Arabidopsis thaliana: one gene and its partner. The protein of the gene in region 1 interacts with the protein of each later gene in a pairwise test. Each region holds a gene or a part of one and is shown on either strand. Other genes may lie near its edges.

What was found. Proteins that work in one complex are often made in the same cells at the same time.
Region 2: the proteins of AT4G10600 (region 1) and FBH2 interact in a two-hybrid assay, tested with the Arabidopsis thaliana proteins (one large-scale study listed by BioGRID).

The regions. Positions count from the first base shown.
Region 1 is NC_003075.7:6,546,688-6,550,505, forward strand, and holds AT4G10600 (RING/FYVE/PHD zinc finger superfamily protein), read right to left. Parts: upstream 2,192-3,818; 5' UTR 1,961-2,191; coding exon 1,247-1,960; 3' UTR 1,154-1,246; exon of another isoform or gene 982-1,153; intron 879-981; 3' UTR 548-878; downstream 1-547.
Region 2 is NC_003075.7:5,845,511-5,850,323, reverse strand, and holds FBH2 (basic helix-loop-helix (bHLH) DNA-binding superfamily protein), read right to left. Parts: upstream 3,013-4,813; 5' UTR 2,812-3,012; coding exon 2,359-2,811; intron 1,867-2,358; coding exon 1,720-1,866; intron 1,516-1,719; coding exon 1,450-1,515; intron 1,080-1,449; coding exon 1,011-1,079; intron 878-1,010; coding exon 824-877; 3' UTR 561-823; downstream 1-560.

The sequences.
Region 1 (3,818 bases):
GGGTTGAAGTTAGAGTTGGATAGGGTGCTGAGGAGATAAAGGAGTCGCATGCAACTTCCTTCTCTTTTCAAGACCCGATTTAACTCTAGCATAAACCCAATTGATCATTATCCTCAGGCGAACGAGTTACGGCAACGACGGTGGCTAGGGTTTCCTCGGACTCTCTCTAAGATTTTGACTAAGGAGAAAATTAAGGAGACTACCTATCTATTTATAAGGATATTAATCGGCTAGGGTTTTCTTTTTGTCTAACGAAATTTTAGGTTTACTCTCTCGTTACGGGCTTATATGGATAATTAAGGGCTTTTCTCCAATGAGTTTTAATGGATTTACATGAGTTTCATATAGAATTGAGACTTTTCTTTTACTTAGCGATTTGGATCCTACAACAATGGCCACTAAATATGTGCCTACCAAGCGACACAAAACATCAAACATAAACCATGTGGCACTTAAGATTTGAGCTTCTAGCGATTCTTGAAGTAAAGCCATATCAGATGGCTGATGTTAGCTTGCACAGTTGCACTTAAGCATAAAACAGACTCAATGCAATGCAATAACTTTGGCATTTCAAGTTTATTCTTGTTCCATAAAGCACAAAATTCTGCATATACTCCGTAAGTTCCGGAAACAATTTGGAAGTCGCACCAACGCTTTGCAGCCTTTCATATTCAAGAGAAGAGTTTTTTGGAATACAAGTAGGATATCAGGACCCTTTAGTGCACTGCCTTCCAACAAGAGCTTTCTTATCTATTTGAAATCACCTAAAATTGTTCATGGTGAGAATTGTCAGAGAATTCAACTTCATCTATGGAAGGACGGAGGGCGAGGAGAGTCCGCGAAGCCTTCAAGATTTTGAGCGCCTACTAATCCTGAAACTGCGAACCGCTCACATGAATGACTAAGATTGAGTTAATCATCAAGATAAAACAAGCCTTTCTTGCTCCTAATTTGACCTACACAAACTTATAAACCAAGCAATCGAGTTTATCATCAATGGAAAGAATTTACACTTTTTATTGCATATTATGTGGATGTTAAGTATCCTACAACTGTTAGTTGATTGCAAAGACAAATGAAACCATGAACCATTGTGGTTATATCTGAATATAAGGTTAAGAATCTAAACTAGTGACAAAGTTATAAACCTTACCATTCTTGTGTAAGAAATCTATTAAAATAAGAAATGTTGGTTGTGTAACACATAATGCCTCTTCTGTATCCAAATCAAAGCCTTCTTACATCATTATTCTTCCTCTTTATCAGCAACTTTAACCTTCTTCTTTACCCCATCTTCAAAACCACCCACCGACTCGTTTCTCCTCTTATATATACTCAAAGGATCACAAAGCAAGCTCTTCTCTTTCTCTACATCACTCTCAATTTCTCTAGAACCACAATTCCTAGCATTGTCTCCCTTACCATCCACACCGTTTTCTTTCGACATAGACAACAAAACACCAGCAAGATTACTATCATCTTCATCCCCAACAACATCACACACATTCTCCTTCTCATCCCAACAAGGAAACTCCCTACACTGAAACCTAAACTTCTTAGGCACATAACCACTACACTTCCATAACTGCCGACTAAAAACCGAAGAAACACATTCAAACAAACCCAAATCACCACCAGGAACTCCTTGTACATGAACCCTTTCTTCAATTGGTATCTCTGAACAAGCCTTCAATACAACACTCTCACTACTCTGCGTACATAAATTCTCCATTCTCAACGATTTAGTAACCGATAACTTGGACAATTCATCTTCATTGTTTTTTATCTTACACTTGTGGCAAACAAACAAATCATCACCTTTAACATAACGAGAACACCATGTATGAACCCAAACACCACATTCATCACAATCAACCATCTCTTTACCATCATCAAAATTCACACCACAAACACAATCTACTGTCCATGATTCATAAACCCAATCTTCGTGTGGCTTCATCTCAAATTTACCCCCAAAAAAAAAACTCTAAATTTCTCTGATTCTTTCACAAATTAACCCAGAAATCTCCCTGAATATCGAAGCTTTGTCAAACCCAATTCGTTTCTTCTGAACGACGATTGTAATGTTACGCGAAATAGCTTTGCGATTCTTGATAGAAAAAAAGCTATCTTGACGTAAATCTATGGTTCTCGCTTCCCATTTCTGAACGAAGAAGACGAAGATAGGAACCATAATTACTAAAATATGGGCCGGTATGGGCCGGGATGGGCCGGGATGGGCCGGGATGGGCCGGGATGGGCCGGGCTTAGAGGATAGGTACTGTTTTTTTTTTGTGGACGGACCAAACGATTTCATTTAAAAACCAAAAGCAGATAAAAAACAGAATGGTCAAGCTCAAAGAGGAATACAAGCGGAAATTAACGGTCAAATAACTAAATCATAATGAAGTTAGCAAAAATATTTGCACGTATAATTTAGCCTAAAGACACGTGTAGAAGATGTGTTCTTCTGAAAACCACTCGTCACGTCGTAGTACCAAAATCTTCTGGGTCGATCATATGAAACCGCTTCAAAAAGATTTCGAAAACCGCTAACTTCGGGGAAGCTATATCACTGACTACACCCAATTTGATGTAGTCTAGGATCAATCTTTCTATGTACCTTGAATAAAAACAGAATGACGAAGATATTACTTCTTGAGCAATTAGGGAAACAAAAAGAATTTGGAAGACATACAGAAAAATCGAAGGAAAGATATTGGAATAGAGATATTGGAAGTTGAAGTTTTGATTTTTAGGTTTTTTTCTTTGATCGTTTTTATGCTAATTTTGTGTTTGTTAAAGCTGAAACTTCAATGAGATGGCTTTGATTTATGATTTTTATTTGGGAATTTTAGTTTGTAGATTTATGTTTTGTATGATCATTGAATCTTTGAATAACCCATGCACTAGTAAGATGTTATATTATAATATATGGATACTAGACTTGAATTGTTCTAATTAGTAGGAAGAGAACTATTGTTGATAAAATAACATGTACAACTAGTGTACCTGTTAGACTATCTACATTAGTTACATGGTTACAATGTCCACTTTTCTCTTTTCAACACTCCACATTATAATTCAATACCTACATAATTTTTACTTACTACAATAGTTTTGTTTAATAAAATTACAACACATTACCCTACCATTATTTTATATTTTTTATTTTAATTATGTTTATGTTTTTTGTGATTAATTAATTACAATTAATATCAAATAAAATTAAAATAAGTAAAAATTAAATATTTTAAAATATGAAGGATAGTTTGGAACAGTTGACGATATAAAGAAATTTGGTGGATAACCATAATTTGTTATATTATGTTGATGGTTAGGAGATTGATGTTGGGTAGTTAAAAAGGTAATTAGAAAAATTTTGGGAGTTAAAATGATATTATTATGATCTATTTCACTAAAAAGACGGATAAAAAATAAACAAGAGTTTATGAAGGATGATAGCAAAAGTTTAATTTAAAAAGATGGGGTTTTTGTGTCCAAATTAATTAAAACAAGTCTTTATTTTTGCTATAAGCCTTCATAAATTGGGGATTGTTAGGAGATTGATTTTGAAACTGATAATTGTTCAGATTTTGGTAGTTAAAAAAGTAGTTAGAAGAAGTTTGACATTCCTTAAATGTAGTGATATTGAAATTTTTTGACATTCCTTTAATGGATCAATGCATTCTGTTCCTATCCTTTCTTATATGGATTGAGACTAAAAATTCTTTGAACTACCACCGCTCAACTTTATCATGATAATTATAAGTCAACTCAAGTATTTATAGATTATCAAAGTCTTAATCCGAACTCGA
Region 2 (4,813 bases), 700 kb from region 1:
TTTGTGATTGCGAGATGAACTCAAAGCGTGGATGCGAGTCCAAGATTAGGTGTAGCAGAGTACATTGGTGAAGGCATGGGAGTCGTTCCAGAGCTTATCATCCCTTCTATGTTTTGAACTCCCTTGTTCTTTGTTTTCAAGTTGATGGTTCATGGAAAACCAAAACAAAAATGTGCAGCCAGTTTGGTTTTAATTTGATGGCTTCAACCAGATTCATCTAATTGGTTTGAAAGGATTTCAAATATATTTCATGTCTTTACACTAAGAACTCCTGACACTACACTACTTTTGGTAGCGCGGTATGCGGAATGATTTATTTCGAAACTGATTGCAGCGGATTTAGTAAGATGATTAACCCTTTTTCGCTATAAGATTTAATCTACACTGCAATAAACAAAGACCCGATTATCTTGCCGGTTCGACAAAACATCGAGCAATTCTGTCCTCGTTTGCAAACTCGTTGCGGATTGGTTGCACCACTAAGCAATCTTATTCCATGATGGTTAGTAATCTAGTATGTTAGCTGTAACTGTATGAATGAGTTTTAAAAACACTGTAATACACATCTTGAAAATACTTTACTATAATCAAACAACATGAAATCAAAGTCATTTCACTAATATCATAAAGAATATATGTTTTCATTAATTCTTTTTAACTTTCTTCATTATTGTACAAAAATTTTATATTACACCTACATCCATTTATCAAATAATATACTTTTCAACATGACATCCATCTAAATTCAAGCTAAGATCATCTTTCGAATTTTTCGATCAGATCATTGCCGTTAAGCAAATATAAAACAAATCAGGAGCAAACCTTATTGTTCTTCCTTAGGTATGCATGTGCACCTCTTCTGTTCTTCTGTTAACTCCTATATTATCCACACCAAAATAAACCAACTCATAACTCTTTTTACTATATACTGTTGACTAATCATTTTTAATTCATCTATTGGGTTCCTCTAAAAGGTTTTGTGTGTATATATATTAACTTAGATAATTTACCTGGATCTGCCTTTGAAGAACTTTCACGTATTCTACTGCTTCTTCTAACATGTCTGCAGTGTTGGTTTGCTGCAACAAAGACAAAAAAGTTAACCGATATACTCAAAGCCTAGATTCCAAATCTCCATATATACCAAAACCAAAAGTTTTCCTCAGTTTGTTCATAATCTATAGAGAGGAAACCAAGTTCATACTTATTTGATCGAGGTGACAACAATTCAAGTCCATATCAAGATCCATTCCACAGTTTGTGAATTACTTAGTTACAGAGCTGAGAACCGTGTCTCTGAAGTTGCATCACAACCATTAACAGTCATATTTAATTTGACCTCTAACTTCTACACTTGATTTAAGCATAGATAATCTTTGACCTATTTCTAGTCAATATAATTGTGTAACCGAGGTCATCAGATTATACCTAAGCTGAAAATTATATTACCTTGTCCATGTTAGGTACAAGCTCTTGTAGCTTCCTTATCCGATCACTAATCCGCGTCCTTCGTACCTACACAATGAAAGGTAAAGATAAATATACACTGACCAGAACAGAACAATCCTCTGTTCAATGAAGCATACAGTGCATCATTAAACATCCGTAAATTGAAAGTAAAGATATAAGTTGTATCACTAAACTTCAATGTATAAAGTTAAGAGAACCTTGATCACTACACTTCCAAAACATTGAAAATAAAGATTGAATGTTGTTTACCCTCTCGGCAATGCTGCGGGGATGAGTTGCGCAACCACGTTTAGCCCGAACCCTAAAAGCAACAGAGTCCTCCATAAGGTTCTCCATGTTCATATCCGACATGCTTGATACTCCGGTAGGAACTTGACCGCTGCTTTGCTCTCCTTTCTACTTACAGAAAAAAATTCCAAAAAGCGCAAATCAGCACTAATACCTTAATCAACACATAGGTAACACATATGTTCCCAAAATTTTGATCAAGTGTAGTTACTTAATACTAAGTAGACCAATGTACCAAAAGGTGTGGAGAATCAATACATTTGTACACATTAACCACCGAAGTATGTATCATCATGTGGACTTATGGTCTTCTAAACACTTTACCCATAGGAGCATTCTTTAATGTTCACATTGACACATTAAAGCCACAGAGCCAACAACAAAAACTGCCATTTTTTTTTTTTTGAGTTAAAATAGAAACTGCAACTTGCTTAGTTTGGTTCAGAAAAACACAAGTTGTCAATTTTAAGACAAGACTGGTCTTTTCAATCTCGAGAACTTGGTCAGCAAATTAACTAAAACAAGTAATAAGTCAGTTAAGTTCATCCTATTTTTGGCAAGTATAAGAAAACCCTAATTTAAGAACTAATTTTGGTTTACCATTTGAGAAGTAAACTCAGGAGAAGAGAAGAGTGCTTCCATTTCTCTAGACCGCTTACTTCCCGGAGAAACATCGATATTCCCCGATAAGTAATCGTAATTCGCCTGAATCCCAAAGCTTTGGATAAATCCATCAGAACCACTAAGAAAATCCGCCGGAGTACTATTCTGTCGGTGAAACCCACCTTGTTGATACAACCCTTGCTCAACAGGAATCGGGAACTCGAACGAGCCGCGACTTGTCGGTAAATCGTTCGAGTTCCCGGTAAGCAAATCGGTGAGACCAAGATTAGGTTTCAAAGACTCTTCTTCATCTTCCTCAAGTAAAGCTTCAAGCCAAGTCGCTGGAGCTGAACGGATCCGAGATAGTCCACTTCTACTTAGCCCTCCTCCTCCTCCTCTGCCTCCTCCGTCGTCACCACCGCCGCTACTACCGACGGATGTTGGTTGCATCCCCTTTGGCTTTTCTCTGGTTTCAATAGACACTACGAAAGCTTTTTTTCTCTTTCTTTACATTTTTTTTTTTGTTTCTTGCTCTGTTTTATTTTTTTCTTTAATTAATACATCAGCAGACCAGATTGTTGTTGTTCTTGGGTTATTTTTTTATTTATTTGTTTCAATAAAAAAATTGCGGCTAGTAATAATAAAGAACCCTAACCGTCTGATTAAGATACTTTTCTAACACTTGACTAAAAGATAAAGATAGTACAGAACCTAAAAAGGTTAGAGATGCGTCAGCGCGTAACAGAGAAACATTGCTTTAACGTCTCTTTTGTTATCTTTTTTTTTATGTAATAGATTATGGTTTACACCACTCTCGATGGAGGCGCGTAGTTTCCACCTTCTCGGTCCAATTCCGATATGTGAAAAATTAGCGACTTCGTATGTCTGCAAAATGCAACTTTTATTTAGTTGAGCTGCTTTGTAGAATTACAACATTTTAAAAGCTTTTGAAGAATTACAATATTTTAAAAAAGCTTTTGAAATTTTTTGTCTTTATTTTATATTAGAGTTATTCTCTGTTGTAACAATGTCTGTGTTGATTGCCTAACAAAAAATATAAGAACACGAAGTTTTTTTTCTTTTTCATGTAAGTACATCGACTCCGGATTAGTTCTCCTAACTTAATAAAATGGTCGCTGGTGAAAAAAAGTAAAGAATAAAAAACCATCCTATTAAAAAAAATATTACAATCTTAAAAAAAAATTACTTCATTTTTTAAATTTTTTTTGTTACTTTCGTTTTTAATTTATGGTTAAAATTTTATTTATTAATTTTAATTCTCATATATTATTTTTAAGATTTAAATGTTTATAAAATAAATAAAATAATTTGAAAGCACTTTTACAACTCGTGTGGTGTTCGGGTTGCCCGGCCATAAAAAATTCCCACAGAGTTTTTCAATCTCATCAAAACCGGTGATCGAAAAATTGAACACCAAAAACTGAAAATCTATACTATATAAAAGTTGAGGCTATTTGCTTCTAAAGCCGTCCACATAGGATTTAGAACGACCAATCGAAAGCTGCCACATCAATAATTAACATATTTAGCATTTAATTATTTAACATTTTTTAAAACAACTAATCGGAAGCTGTCACATCAATAATTAACATATTTAACATCTAATTAATTAACATTTTTAAAAATAATAATTACTTTCCATTTTAAAATTTAAAATAAAAAACGAAAATAACAAATATTAAATTTAAACTTATAAAAAAGGAAGCAATATAATTATAATTAAATAATATTAAACCTAAACCCTTACAGAATTTTGGGAGATTTGCAAAACTACTCTTTTTTTACTACCCTTTTGCAACAATATCTTTTTATGTTGTCCTTTTTTAAAAATACCATTTCCCTTGAACAGAATGACCAAATTATCCTCATCTAATAGGAACATGTAATTAGAAACTGAAATTTTCCCACCAAATTTTTGCACCAAAAATTTATTTTTCTCGCCAAAAAAATTTTCTGGCAAACTTTTTTCCCACCAAAAAGAAAAATCCCGCCAAAAAAATGATTATGCAAATCCTTGTAAAATTGTTTTGGGAAAAAATATATTTTCAAGAGATTTTAAAAGGGTTTTAAAATATTTACAAGGGATTTTAAAAGGGTTTTAAAAAATTTACAAGAGATTTTAAAAGTATTTTAAGAGATTTATAAGAGATTTTAAAAGATTTTAAAATATTTACAAGAGTTTTTAAAGGGTCTTCTTGTAAATTCTTTAAATATCTTTTAAAAACACTTGTACATCTTTAAAAATCTCTTGTAAATCTTTTGAAATCCTTTTAAAATACCTTGTAAATCTTTTAAAACACTTTTAAACCATTTAAAAATCTTTAAAAAACCTTTGTAAATCTTTTAAAGCCCTTTAAAATCCCTTGTAAATATTTTAAAACCCTTTTAAAATACCTTGTAAATCTTTTAAAACTCTTTTAAAATCCCTTGT